Lonchura striata: one gene and its partner. The protein of the gene in region 1 interacts with the protein of each later gene in a biochemical or structural test. Links are inferred from orthologs where the notes say so. Each region holds a gene or a part of one and is shown on either strand. Other genes may lie near its edges.

Region 1 (6,941 bases):
GGACCAGGAGCACATGACTAGAGCGACTGGGGGGGTTATCACAAGTGCATGCGCTTTATGTTACGGCCTTTGTTTCTCCCTCAGTTGTTATACACTTGGGATTGAATCATATTTGCAAACTTGTTCGTCTGCATCAGTTAGCACCCTCTTCACAGGCAAGCATCTGTCTAGTCTTTGACCTCAAATAAACGGGAAAGGAGTATCAATGACCTTTCAAGAATCAAGCTGCAGAGCCTGAATAAGACATATTTAGTTGCTGAGTATGACAGGTTGAGGTCTCGCTTGGTTTAGACAGCCACCTGCAGAAATAGTGACCAACAAGACCCGTTTTCCATTCCACAGGCACATAAAGAAGTCAGTAAATTAAAATGGAGTCACCCACAGTTCTCCTCCATATAGATCAATAATCCTTAATAAATACCAATGCTGGACCTGATCAAACCTACGCTTTTGTGCTGCTAAAATAGGTTAACTGCACCCATGGTTTTTGGAGGGTTGCACTGATCATGCAGATACAAGGTGGACTACAGCACCTGAGCCAAATGGTCTCTTCAAGGTTTCAACCACAGGGGAAGACATTTCAGTACAAAAAACCTGTCAAAATTTCTCATCTGTCAAAAAGCTCACAATCTCCCAGTGCTTTGGCATGAAATGGACTAGCCCCTTCGCTGGATGCAGGCATGTACCCGCAGAGCCATGTCAGGTGTGGCTTTAACCGAATATCAAATAGATCAATTGAATGGGAATGCATATTGAGCATTCCTGGTCTCATAAAAATGTCATCCTGCATTTCCGTAAGAAAAAAGAAGATATCTCTAAAAACTACTATGTTCATATGAATCTGGAAGAACAATTCAGGTCTTAATGTGACCATATTCAAATCAGGAGTAAAGAAATTCCATATGATAAGCACATAGCTGAACTATAGCAACTCAGAACTGGGCCTTTTTGTATCAGCACAGTACATTTGTGCAGGTTTAATTAATATTTTTAATTCACATAAACCAGCTAACCCCATCAGATAGAATACGAAGAATGGGCACACATTAAGCATTTCTGACATGTCTGTGCAGAATAAAGCACAGGCCTCGTTCTTAAAAAATATTCCTCTGATCAGAAAATTGGAAAAATAATGCCAAGCTTGACATGTGAGCCCATGGAGTAGTTATTTCAAAATGAGCATTTTCTTATGCCTTCTTCTGAGCATTTTACCAGAGCCTGGAGGATATTAGAGACACCTTTTGTAAGCTCCCCTCCCCCTCCTTTTTTTTTTTTTTTTTTTAATGGGCTGGACTAAAAGGTGCTCACACCCGAACTACGGGTGCATGGAAAAACCTTCCATGCTCTCTCCCCTTAACAGCCAGGAGTGCTTTTAAAAAAAAAAACTCCAAAAAAACCACATAATGAACGTGAATGTCACGGTCATACCTGTGTGCCCGCAATTCGTTTCCTCCTTTCGGTGGGAGGAGGGGGCGAATGAAAAGGAAATAGAGACTACGGAGCTTCCAATCCGTTTCACAAAGGGGGGGGAAAATGGCTTTTTAATGAGGCAGAGGCCGCTGGCAGCGACCAGGAGCTAAGGACGAGGACAAACCCATCGGGATTTTCCGTCCAGCAGGCCCCGAACGGAGCGGCGGCGTGCGCCTATTCAAGGTTAATGGGGGGGGAAGGGGAGAGAAAGGAGCTGCCGAGGCCGGGGCTGGGGCCAGGCTCCCTTCGCCGCTCCCCGCCTGGGCGAAGGGCGGGGGCAGCCTCGCCGGCCCTCACCCCCCAACCCGAGCGGGGCAGGATACTCACGGCTGACTTTCATGCTGCCGAAGGCCGAGGGCTGCTGCACAGGCTTGCAGCTCTCCGCGAAGGAGGTGGTCCTGGGCCGCCCGGACATGGTCTCTCCCGCTCTGCCCCAACGGCGATCACCTCTCTCCTCTTCCTGCCTTCGCCCTCCGCCTCGCCCCGGCGGGCCCGCCTGCCGCTCCCTCGCTCGCTCAGCTGCAGGAGACGGGTGGGACGCGCCACATGAAACGCCGGGACCCCCCCTTCCCCCCCCGGGGAAGCCCCCTCCCCTCTCGGTCTCTGCCGCCCGGCGGGTGCTTCTTCTTCTCCTGCCTCCTCCTGCTCCTCCTCACGCCGCCCGCTCCTCACACGACCATCCTTCCCGGCCGCGCCGGTGGGACCGAGAGCCGCCTCCCCCCGGCGCCGCTCCCGAGCGAGGGGGGTTCGCTGGGCCTCGCTGCCCCCACCCCGGGCGCCAGTCACATGGGGCGGAGGCTCGCGGCCCGGCTCCTCCGATCCCGCCGCCGCCGCGCTTCTCTCCTTTTATTTGCTTTAGCTCTTTTTTTCCCCTTTTCTTCTTTTTCTTCCTTCTCTTCCTTCCCCCCTCCCCGTTCCTCTCCTTCCCCCTCGCCTCTGAGGGAGGCGGCAGGCAACGGGACTATTTTTTTCCCTGGCGGAGGGATCTCGGGGCACAGCCGAGCGGAGGCGATGCGGCACCGAGTCGCAATAGGATCCGGTGGTGGCGGCGGGATCCGCGGCGCGCGGAGGGGGGTGAGGCGGTCGGGCGGCCTCGCTGCTCGCTGACGCTGCTGCTCAGTGCGGCGCTGAGGCGGCGGCGGCTCCGGCGGTGCGGCCGCTCATTCCGCCCGCACGGGCAGCTGGCGGTGGCTCAGGCAGGGCACGCTGCACTGCGGCCGGCGGCCGGCGGCAACGGCAGGGGCCATGACGGCGGCGATTTCCCTGCTCCTCGTCAGCCCGGCTTCAGAGCGCTGACGGCGGTTGCTGCTTTTGCTGCTGCTTCCCCAGGCGTCCAAGGCACATAGGACTCGTCCGCCCGGCTGAAGTCTCCCGCCGGGCCCCCCTCCCAGTTCCTGCCGATCAGTCCCTTTGTCCCCGCTGCTCCCTCCGCTGCGTGCCGGGCTCCCGCCGCTGCGCTCTGTGCGTGCGCCAAAGCCGCGCAGCCGCCCGTGCCCGCCGCCGCCCCACGCTGCGGAGCAGCCGTAAGCGCCGTCTGTGAATACCCGGCCGAAGAACCCGGCGCGCCCGCGAGCCCCCGGCCCGAGGCCGTTACGGAAACGCCCGAGCCTTATCGGGACCAATCCTCAGGCCGTTACAAGAATGCCTGTAACTGGGCGGAACCAATCACGGAACCACGGCGGGCACGACCGATTCTCCCCGAAGTGAAGCGGAGACCCAATCGGAGCACGCCGCCGCCGCCCTAGCAGCGCGGGCGGGCGGCCAATGGAAAGGAGGGCTCTCTTCCGGCCATCGCCGGGCCAACCCGAGTGGAGCCGAGGAGGGAGAGCCAATCAGGGGCCGCGCTGCCTCCGTCACCCAGCCCTGGGACGTCTTCGAGCCGCAGCCCGAGGCGGAGAGCGGCCGCGGGCAGCGATTGGCTGCCGGCGATGAGGCTGCCTGCAGGGGACCAATCGCGAGGCGCAGGGCCACGGGCGCGCCCGCTCCCGGCGGGGCACGGCCGCGCGCCTCTGTGGGGGCCGGGGGAGGGCAGCGCGCATGCGCAGCGCGGCCGGGCACCGCCCCTCAGGCGCGCCCCCGCGGCCCGTCCCGCCGGGAGCGGGTTTGGGGCGGTACGAAAGGAAACTCGAAATCGTGGGGTTTGTGCCTAAAACCCGTCAGGCGCAGAGATGTTGCGGTTCTGCTTCACTGAGCTGTGAAGGAAATGGCGCTGACGCGCGCAGTGCTGTCATAGAATCATAGAACGGTTTGGGTTGGAACGGCTCTTCAGGACCCTGCAGTTCCCACCCCTCTGCCATGGGCAGGGACACTTTTCACTAGACCAGGTTGCTCCAAACCCATCCAACCTAGCCTTGAACATTTCCAGGGATGGGGCAACCACAACTCCTCCGTGTAGCCTGTTCCAATGTCTCAACACCCTCATGTAAAGAATTTCTTCTGAGTATCTATCTAACCCTACCCTCTTTCAGTTTGAAGCCACCCCTTTTGCGTGAGAAGCTGACAAGCTCTTGTGGACAGTCCCTCTGCAGATTTCTGGCAGGAGACAAGAGGCTGGAACAGTCATGGATGTGGTTCATGAAGCAACGGTGAACCCGTTCTACACAAACTGGGCCAAGCAGGGGAAAGAAGATCAAGGCTCTCATAGAAAGTCCTCCCAATTCAGCTGTTAACAGCAAGGCTTCCTCACAGGAAACGCAGTTTGTAGTGAGGCACTAAACACCCTCAGAGTTAGGTCCCACTGCCACCACAGTGGATTGAGCTTGGCCCTGGCTGGAGTTCCAGGCACTGTTCTGGAAGAACTTGTCCTTCTTCAGGGCTCTGGAGCATCCCTGGGGGCAGCAGCTCCCAGCCCTGGCACAACCAGCACTGGAGCACTGCTGCCTGCTGTGAACTCAGTGAAATTACTCGGCAGACATCAGCAAAAACTGAGCACCACTTGCTTATGCCATTAAAAAGAAAAAAAAAAAAAAGTGCTCTTGCCAGAATAGTTTATACCACAAACAAAATAACTTGGACTAGTAGAAACATTTTGCCAGTGTTAGAGACTTAGACTGCTGTTTTCTTTTAAGGCATCAAAATATTGCCAGATTTACTTTTTTTGCAGCCCTGTTCTGAACACTATTGCTATGTGACCAAACAAAGACCTGGCCAAAGGCAGCTGAAATTTATCATTTACAAGAGCTGTTTTCTAAAGCCAAAAACAAACCCAGTCTCTCAAAATGGTCCTGTTCAGCACTTTGCTCACCCTGGGGTGGTTGGCTTGCTGGAAGCCTTTTTTCCTGCCGAATAATGATGAGTGGTTTTACCTACTACAAAGGCCATGGGACTGTTTAAGGTTTGATTATTCAGGCTCTACCTGTGCAGCTCTACAGCTGGGAACCTGACAGGTGAGAGTGGTGTGCCCTAGCAAGCGCTAAGACACTGAAGTCACAGCATAGGAGTGCTACTGCAGCCACCCCAAGCCACCCTACCATAACTCATTGTTCCAACCCCCCTCTGAGACACCACTGTGTCAAATGTTACTTAGACACAGCTTCAATGAGCTTCCAACAGTGAAAATGACATTTTCTCTCCTGTTTGGAAGAGCAGTTGTCAAAAATTAGGGTTATAGATTGGGTTAGCTCTCTGAAGAGCATTCTTACATAAAACAACAAAGTAAATATGCCACTAGGCAGTGGCCAGCTCTCTTGTACCTGAAATGTACCACCAGGCATTCCAGTCATTATTTTTTCTGGCTTTGGGCATCAAATTGCTAACACAAATCACATTTTCTTATTTTCTGACAAAGTTCTTTCAAATTACTATGTAAACAGGAGAACGGACTTCGGAGAGACAGCCGAGCTTTGTTTCTTGAAAAATTTGGCAGTCTGAAAAAACAGCAGGTGGGGGAGGGTGAGCTCTTTGTTTTTCAACATTTGCTGTTAGTCATGATAGTGGTAAATAAAAGTCAGACCGATGCATAATTTATACTGATGGTGCCCATTTGAAAAATGTCCCTTAAAGCTTCGTAATGAATCTACAACCTGATAAAAAAAATGGGAAATCAACTTCATTTACTTACAGAAAACAAGCTACTGCATGAAAATAAGTTTTTGCTTGTCTTCCTCTATCTGGTAAACCTTTATCTGGTTTATTTCTCTAAAATCACCCTGTTTCCTCTTCAATACCAAAGTAATCTATATCAAAACCACAACTTGGTTGCTTCTAATAACACTTTTCTGAATACCAAGCCTACCCATCCACAGGGGGAATGCATATTACAAAAATCCCAGCTGCAGTATTTCATATTTGGCAATCCTGCACATATTTCCATTTCATAATTAAGCAACCAAGTCTCCAAAGCCCGTCCATTCAAGTTGTAGCATCTTCTTATCCACTAGGAAACCACAACTGTGTTTTAAAGGAAAATTGTGATATATTTGAGGGGATGGAAAAGCATAAAGCACCTCCAATTTCTGTTGGTCTTTTCATAGATTCTTTCCTGAACTAAGACTACTCTCAGAAAAACCTTAAACACACAATAAGGGCATCTATTAAGCTTTCATCATCAATTTCAAAAATCTTCTGACAAAATAATTTGTGAGAGTCATGAGTGAGCTAGTTGCCTTTTTAGACTGAAAGATTCTCTTTTGACAACATTGCAAAGTCCATATTTATTTTTGGCCCCTTGGCTGCTGAAATGACCTCCCTTTAGAATCTGCAAATATAAATAGAATTGACGCTTTAATTATCAGTTTTCACATGCTATTATAATCCAGCATCCCAAGCATCAATATTGTTCTAAGTCTGGATGCATGGGGCAGTTTTACAGCTGCCATGTCTCTGTAATGTGCAAGTGCCCAAGGAGGTTGCCTGAATATGTGAAGTGTCCGAGAAAAATTACTGAGGTGTTATCTCTCTGAAATGCCATAAGGTGGCAGTGAATTGGAAAATTGGTACCACTTCTGGGTAAAAAGCTCTAAGGAGCTCAGGAGAAGAGTAGGGGAGGGGTTTTGTTTGCTTCTTTAGGGGTTTTCTTTTGTCTGTTTGCATTTCATATATCAACAATAAACTTCAATCATTCTAATCAGACACTGAATAAGCCTGCTCCAACAGGAACTGGTAGACATGTTCCTGCACAGGAGTTCCTGCTGTTTTCTTTCTGCATTGCTTCCTTTCCAAGTGATCAGCAGGAAGATTTTCTGTTTGCTTACCTTGCACCTCTTGCTGGGTCATTCCACCAGAAGGCATGGTTACAGGCCTACCTCTTGCTAGTCTGATAAGCATGCAATGATTCAAGGCTTTTTTGAACCTTGCTATACAAGAGAATCTAAATTATATTAATGGATCTACCAGTCTTGTATCTAACTCCTTGATATTGCTAAGGCAATTATCCACAGAACAATTTAGTGAGACATTGTAATGGTTTGTCTCTTGTTTGATTGGCATAGGCAAACTCAATAGTTATGGTTGAACTTTAACTTTGCTTTTTT
Region 2 (7,672 bases), on another chromosome or scaffold:
CCCAGAGTGACCCGGCCCTTGTGATAACCAAGGATTCTGCCCTGCAGAAGCACCTCAGGGGGTAGCAGGATGTCCATGAGGAGGCCTCGTGCCTCCCGGGACCACCCTAGTGAGGGGATGCCGGCCGTGCGGGGGATGCAGCCCTGCGGGACCACCGCAGTGTGGGGATACCGGCCGTGGGAAGCAGCCAGCCCCGTGAGACCACCGCAGTGGGGAGATTTCGGGCGTGGCGGGGGCTTCTGCCCGGTGGGACCGCAGCCGCGTTTCTCCTTTAAGGCTCCCGCCGGGGCGGCCGCGGCGGGGGGGCTCCGCCGCCGGGCCCTCCGCCCCCCGGGCCCCCGGGGCCATTGTCCCGTCGCCATGGCGACCCCGCCGGCGCCTTTCACATGCAAAGCGCCCGACAAAAGCGGCGGGGCCGGGCCGGGGGCGGCGCGGGGGGCTTCAGCCCGGCCACGGCGGGGGGCCCCGGCCCGAGGATCCAGCCGGTCCGGTGCCCCCGGCCCGAGGATCCCGCAGGGTGCGCCGGTTTCCTCCCGGCGCTACCGTCCCCCGGTCGGGATGCCCGGCGCTACCGTCTCCCGGTCGGGATGCCCGGCGGCCGGTGCTGGTCGTGGGGGGGTCCCAGTAGGATCCCGCTGTTGGCCCCGGTCGGGTACCGGCGGGGTCCCGGGGAGGGCTCGCTGACCGGTCGGGCCCCGTTCCCCCGCAGGGTCCGTCTGTACGAGGGCCCGCAGCTGGTGGCCGACTCCGGTGTGATCATCGACACCACGATGCGCGGGGGCCGGCTGGGGGTCTTCTGCTTCTCCCAGGAGAACATCATCTGGTCCAACCTGCAGTACCGCTGCAACGGTGAGCAGGGCCCCCCGGGACCCCCGCACCGGCCCGGCGGCCGGCCGAGCATCCCCTCGCTCGCCCCTCGGCGGGCTCAGTCCCGGGCCGGGGGCTTTACCGGGGCTCGCTGCCCCCGCCGGCTCCTGACGCCCCCCGCGCTGCTCCCCACAGACACGATCCCTGCCGACTTCGAGCCCTTCCGCCGGTTCCTGCTGGAGGGACGCGAGTGACCGCGCCCGGCACGGGCCTCCCCCGCCGGCGGCACCGGTGGCGCTCCGGGCTCTCGCCACCGGCGGCACCCGGGGGCGCACCGGGCCCCGCCGCTCCTCCCGGCCGGGCCCCGTTCCCGGCCCCCCGCGGACTTTGCACTGCCAGTACCGGGGCCCCGCAGTGCCGGGGCTCCCGCCACGCCTGCCCCGGGCGCTCCGGTCCTTGCCCCACGCCTGGCCATAAAGTTTTGAGTGTTTTCTAACCCTGCGCGCCCGGTCCCTGGGGGTTCCCGCTGGCCCGGGAGGGCCGTGGGTCCCCCCCCCCCGTGCTCGCGGCTCCGTCCCGCGCCGTCCTCCCGGTGGTCGCGGGGTTGGGTCAGCGCCCGGCCGGTCCCACAGGCGCAGCCCGCGGCGGCGGGAGGCCGGGACGAGTGCAATATTGGTGGGCGAGAGCACAACACTGCACCGCATCCCGGCCCTCCCGCCGCCCCGGAGGGAGCGGAGCCGCCGCCGCCGCCCGGGCCGCTCCGTGGGAACTGCGCGGCGCGCACCGCGGCTCGGCGGCAGGGACCGGTCGCCACGGCGACGGCTGTCCCGGCAACGCGGCGGAATGTGCCCCCAACCCCCCCCACCCCATCCCGCCCGCCCCGGAGCGCGCGGCCCCGGCACCGGCCCGGCCCCCCCGCCCCGCGGCGGCGGCGGCGGCGACAATGGGCGCGGCGGCACCGGGCCCCTCTTAAAAGGGCAACGCGGGGGTGCCCTCCGGTGTTGGGACCGGGACCGCGGCTGGGGCCTGTGCCCGTCCCCGAGGCCGCGGCGGGAGCGCAGCCGGCTCTCCCCGGGAGTACCGGGACAGGTGAAATCAGCGCTGGCTGCTGAGCGCCTCCTCCCGCGGGGAAACGCGGTTCCCGTTCCTGTTCCGGTCCTTCTTCTGCTCCCTCTCCGATCCCGGTCCAGCACCGTTCCCGACTCCGCTCCTGCTCCCTCTCCCGCTCCCGTTTCGCTCCAGTATCGGTCTCACTCCCGCTCTGCATTACTGCAGTCGATTCCCGATTCCGCTCCCGGTTTCTTTCCAGCAGCGTTCCCGCTCTCGCTCCAATCCCAGTCCCTGTCACGCTCCTGGTCTCACTCCAGTAGAGGTCCCGTTCCCCCTCCCGGTCCCGGTTCTGGTCCCGGTCCCGGTCCCGGTGCGCGGCGGGAGCGTCGTGCGGGGCGGTGCCCGCCAGGGGGCGCCGCAGGTTCGGGCGGGGCGGGGACGGGGCGGGCTGGGACCCCCGGGCACGGACAGGGCGGACACGGGGATTTACCGGGCACGGACAGGGCGGACACGGGGATTTACCGGGCACGGACAGGGTGGGCACAGGGATTTACCGGGCACGGACAGGGCGGACACAGGGATTTACCGGGCACGGACAGGGTGGGCACAGGGATTTACCGGGCACGGACAGGGTGGGCACAGGGATTTACCGGGCACGGACAGGCTTGGCACAGGGATTTACCGGGCACGGACAGGGCGGACACGGGGATTTACCGGGCACGGACAGGCTGGACACAAGGATTTACCGGGCACGGACAGCATGGGCACAGGGGAAACACCGGGCACGGACAGGGTGGGCACAGGGATTTACCGGGCATGGACGGGCTGGACACAAGGATTTACCGGGCACGGACAGCATGGGCACAGGGGAAACACCAGGCATGGACAGGCTTGGCACAAGGATTTACTGGGCACGGACAGGGCGGACACGGGGATTTACCGGGCACGGACAGGGCGGACACAGGGATTTACCGGGCACGGACAGGCTGGACACAAGGATTTACCGGGCACGGACAGCATGGGCACAGGGGAAACACCGGGCACGGACAGGGCGGACACGGGGATTTACCGGGCACGGACGGGCTGGACACAAGGATTTACCGGGCACGGACAGCATGGGCACAGGGGAAACACGGGGCATGGACAGGGTGGGCACAGGGATTTACTGGGCACGGACAGGGTGGGCACAGGGGAAACACCGGGCATGGACAGGGCGGGCACAGGGGAAACACTGGGCATGGACAGGGTGGGCACAGAGGAAACACCGGGCATGGACAGGCTGGACACAAGGATTTACCGGGCTCGGACACGGTGAGCACAGGGGAACACCGGGCACGGACAGGGTGGGCACAAGGATTTACTGGGCACGGACAGGCTGGACACAGGGGAAACACCAGGCACAGACAGGGTGGGCACAGAGGAAACACCGGGCACGAACAGGGCGGATGCAGGGATCTCACCGGGCACCATGGGAACCCACTGGGCATGGACAGGGTGGGCACATGGAACCCACTGGACATGGACAGGGTGGGCACCCCACTGGGCATGGACAGGGTGGGCACATGGCCTCTCTCCCAGGGCTGGTGGGTGACCGCAGTTGCTGGGACCCCCTCAGCCCCCCCCTCGTGGGGAGGCTCAGAGCAAAGCCCCCCGAGCTGAGCAGGGTGGGGGATTCGGGCTGGAGCAGAGGGCAGCAGGGCTCAGCAGCACTGCGTGGGGAGAGCCATTCCCCTGGTGAGGTGTAGAAAATTGCTGCATCTCCAGGACGGTTTGGCTGAATTGAAGCAAGAGATCTCTGAAGTTTGCTCTTGGAGAATGAGGTTTTTTGGGGATGCAGAAGGGTCCTGCCTCGTGCTCCAAGCATGTGGCAGGGTTTGAGAGGGTGGGGAAGGAGAGACAAAAGGATGCTCAAGGAGATAGGAGGATCCAAGAGAGGGGAGGGAGTTCCAAGAGAAGGGAGGGAGTTCCAAGAGACTGCGTGGCCCCTCGAAGCCCCCTTTTCAAGGAGCTTCAAGGTGGGTTGGAACAAGGCTCGGGCCAATGGGGTGCCTGTAACCCCACTGATGTTTTAGGGGAGGGAATACAGGTGTGGGGTGAGCCGTACATCTTTTGGGGGGTGAGATGGAACAGTCTTCCTGACCCCAGGACCCATCCGTAGGCAGGGGCGTTGTCCGGCTAGCTGGGAGAACTGTTCTCATCCTGGCTGGGTTATTTATGGATAATCCTATTTATCTATCTTCCGCAACAGTGAGGCCTTTTGGGAAGGAAATGTTTGCCCAGAGCTGCTGCCCGCACGTGGCCGGCCTTGCCGAGGCTGTGGCCACCGTGGGGGGAGCAGGGCGCTGCTGGGTCCCGTTGCTGAGCTGACACCCAGGGCATCCACCCTCAGCCTCAGTGCCCAGGCCCCCCTCTCTGCTCCCCTTCTCAGCACCACCTCAGAACCCTTTGGAGTGACAGCAGTGGCACTTTGGCTTCGCGTGAGGCTGGCCAGGAGCCGAGCGTGGGGACCACGACCTCCCCAGGGACTGGGATCCTCACAGGAATCAGCACCCTCCTGAGAGATTGGGGCTCTCAGGAATTCCTGCAGGGCAGGGGCAGAGTGGGACCACGGTAGCTTTTGATGCCCGTCCGTGCCAGGAGCACAAGTCACCTGCGCCCAGGCACGGGCGGTGCCCGTCACCTCTGGGGTGGGGCATTGACACCCAGCACTGGCATCACCCGTGTCCTGGGACGGGGCTTTGTGCCTGCTAGGGGGGCCCTGGCACCCGGAGGGAGGTTCCTGGGAGGTACTGGGGTGTCGTGGGGCCCTGGGCTGTACCTGCGTAAGCGTTTCGGGGGGGTCACCGGTGTTTATTTGGGCGAGGCGATGCCCAGCCGGTAATGATTAACCCTGGGCTGAGCAGAGGACGAGGCCCCTCCTGCACCAGGGGACTCCGTGCCCACCCCGTGCCCCCCACCAGGCTCTGGAGCCCGTGGCTCATCCCAGGCAGATGCTGCTCCCACCCCTTCCCCGGGATGCCCGGCTACCTTCGCGCCCCGTGCCCCCGCCCGCGGCTCTCTGCCCGTGGCACCGGGACGCTGCCGGCGGCGCCTCCCCGAGCCAGGGAGGCGCGACAGACCCAGCTTGGGGGGGCTGATGCCGCGGGGGCCCCGTGGGCACGGTGGCACCCCTGTGCCAAGCGGGGCAGAACGACCCCCCCTGCCCGCAGCCGGGCGGGGCGGGGCCGCCCCACCTGCCCCAGGTGCTCCATAAAGCTCCGGCCGCTGCCGCGCTGCCAGTTCCGGATCCCTGCTGGACCGAGGCGTGTGCCAGCCACCGGCTAACGGGAGAGCAGCCGCTGCTGAGCCCCAGGAGGCGCCGGGACCCCCGGACAAGCCCCACATGGCGTTCCCCGTCTTGCTGCTGCTGCTGGTGGTGGGCACAGGTGAGGGGCTGGGGGCAGGGAGAGAGGAACGGGATCCCTTTCAAAGCGGGCACCGGGGGATCCTGGACCCGCTGGCATCCTGGCAGCAGCGCCGTTGTCACCTGTCCCGTTCTGGCTCTGGGGTGCAGCGCCCCGGCTGTGCCCAGGAAAGCTGGCACCCGGGGGCTCAGAGCGCGGCCCCTCTGCCGCGTCCGAAGGGCTCGGCCGAGGGCCGGGCTGTGCCGGGAGCAGCCGGAGCAGGCTGTGCCCGGGGCTTGCGGGCTGGAATGCAGGTGTGTCCCGGTGAGCATCCGGACCCCGGGCTCTCCTCCAGTGCTGCCTGCAGCACCCCTGGGAACTTGCCCGGGAGCTGCCTGTACTGGCCCCCAGCCAGTCTGGAGGGCACAGGGGCAGCCCAGCCTGTCCCCCACAGCAAGGGGGGCTTTGTTGGGTGGCATGCCTGAGCCCCCCGCATGTCAGGGACGCCCCAGGGTCTGCAGTGCTGGGTGTGGCACCGGTGTCAGTGCCCAGCCAGCTCCACCTGGACCCTCGGTGGTGCCACAAGTGCCCAGCCGTGGGGTGTTGCTGGTGGGGTTAGCCTCGTGAGCAACTGGCTCTTGGTTCCTGGGGGTTGTGGTGCTTCCCACAGCGTCCAGCTGATGAGCTGTTTTGGGTGAAACCTTCCCTAACTGGGCTGCAGCCGTTGACTCCTGGGGTTTCCTCCAGGTACCCGTGCCACGACCACCGAGACAACCATGGAGATGGAAACTACCGAAACGACCACCGTGGAGATGACCACGGAAACCACCAGCACCACCTGGCTGCCAAATATATACCCCAAAAGCACACGGGGCAGCCGGCCCCAAACCTCCGTCATCCCCTATGCCACTGCATTCCCTGGCACAAACACCACGAACTTCCAGTTTGGCAACCGCTCCATGTCCAACGGCACCGTGGTGCCCGTCCACAGCAGCCCAGCCATCCCCCATGCCAATGCCACCTCCAACAGCAGCAGCTGGGTGCCCCACTTTGGCACCAACGGCAGCTCTGCCACCCCCACCACCACGCACTTTGGCAGCGCCAAAGGCAACGGCAGCACCAGCGCTCAGGTCTTTCCCACCCAGATAACGTCCGAGGGCAGCACGGCTCCTGGGCAGACCCCCACCCGGGGTGGTCCCAACCCCAGCAAAACCCCAGCTGGCATCCAGCTGCTTGTCCGTGTCCCGCTGTCCTTCCGCATCATCAACAGGAGCTTCAACGAGAGCCTGCGAGACCCGGCATCGGAGGAGTACAGGAGCCTGAGCCGCACTGTCCTGGCCATGGTGAGTCCCAGCCCCACCAGCAGAGACCCTGGGCTGGCTGGGAAGGATCCCCCTCACCCTGGGGCAGAGATTTGGGGCCATGCTGGGAAGGATCCCCCTCACCCTGGGACAGAGATTTGAGGCTCTGCTGGGAAGGAGCCCACTCACCTTGGGGCAGATGTGCTGGGAAGGAGCCCCCTCACCTTGGGGCAGAGATTTGGGGTGTGCTGGGAAGGAGCCCCCTCACCTTGGGGCAGAGATTTGGGGCCATGCTGGGAAGGAGCCCCCTCACCTTGGGGCCGTGCTGGGAAGGAGCCCCCTCACCTTGGGGTAGATGTGCTGGGAAGGAGCCCCCTCACCCTGGGACAGAGATTTGGGGCCGTGCTGGGAAGGAGCTCCCTCACCTTGGGGTAGATGTGCTGGGAAGGAGCCCCCTCACCTCGTGGCTTTCCGTGGAAGCACCTGGAGCATCCGTTCTGCCAGTTCTGCATGGAGACAGGAAAGGGGGGTGTCTGTGTCCGTGGGGAGGTGGCCGTGACCTCAGTGCTTCCTTCCAGTTCGAACACGTCTTCGGCTGCACGGGCTGCATGGGCACGCAGACCTACACCGGGTGCAGCGAGCTGCGCTACAGGTGAGCAGCAGCAGCGCCAGCAGGGCTGCTGTCCTGCAGTGTACCCCCCCGGTTTGTAGCTCCTCAGGGGGCAATCCGGGTGCTGATGCCTCCTCCTGTGCAGCCAAGGCTCGGTGGAGGTCCAGTCCACCCTCGTGTTTGGGAACGGAAGCGATGCCGTCACTCCCGACGCTGCCGAGCAGCGCCTGAGGAAGAGCCTGGACCAGAATGGCTTCATCATGGGCCTGCAGCTGGACAGCATCCAGAGTGAGAGGCTGGGAGGGAGGGGATGGAGCCTGGGCGAAGCCTGGGGGGCTCCAGAAGCATTGCCCTGTCCTGGTGGAGGCAGGGGGCTGCTTGGTGCTGTGATGGGCTTGGGGATGCAGAGGGTGGGGCCAGCACAGTTTGCAGCGCCTGTGCCAGGCAGGAGGGCTCAGACCCCGGTGTCCCATCCCAGGGATCTCTCAGGGCTCTGTCCCAGTTCTGCCTGTGGTGCAGAC

The links. The genes of interacting proteins can lie anywhere in the genome.
Region 2: the proteins of GSK3B (region 1) and MUC1 form a complex in vitro, tested with the Homo sapiens proteins (2 studies listed by BioGRID). The link is inferred for Lonchura striata from reciprocal best matches to the Homo sapiens genes GSK3B and MUC1.

Annotation. Positions count from the first base shown.
Region 1 is NC_134604.1:27,532,791-27,539,731, forward strand, and holds the start of GSK3B (glycogen synthase kinase-3 beta), read right to left. Parts: upstream 3,004-6,941; 5' UTR 1,886-3,003; coding exon 1,798-1,885; intron 1-1,797. UniProt on the Homo sapiens protein: Constitutively active protein kinase that acts as a negative regulator in the hormonal control of glucose homeostasis, Wnt signaling and regulation of transcription factors and microtubules, by phosphorylating and inactivating glycogen synthase (GYS1 or GYS2), EIF2B, CTNNB1/beta-catenin, APC, AXIN1, DPYSL2/CRMP2, JUN, NFATC1/NFATC, MAPT/TAU and MACF1.
Region 2 is NC_134635.1:1,755,675-1,763,346, reverse strand, and holds the start of MUC1 (mucin-1), read left to right. Parts: upstream 1-4,644; 5' UTR 4,645-5,239; coding exon 5,240-5,282; intron 5,283-5,987; coding exon 5,988-6,583; intron 6,584-7,119; coding exon 7,120-7,193; intron 7,194-7,296; coding exon 7,297-7,439; intron 7,440-7,672. Other genes in the region: THBS3 (thrombospondin-3), read left to right, coding at 710-849, 1,003-1,061. UniProt on the Homo sapiens protein: The alpha subunit has cell adhesive properties. Can act both as an adhesion and an anti-adhesion protein. May provide a protective layer on epithelial cells against bacterial and enzyme attack.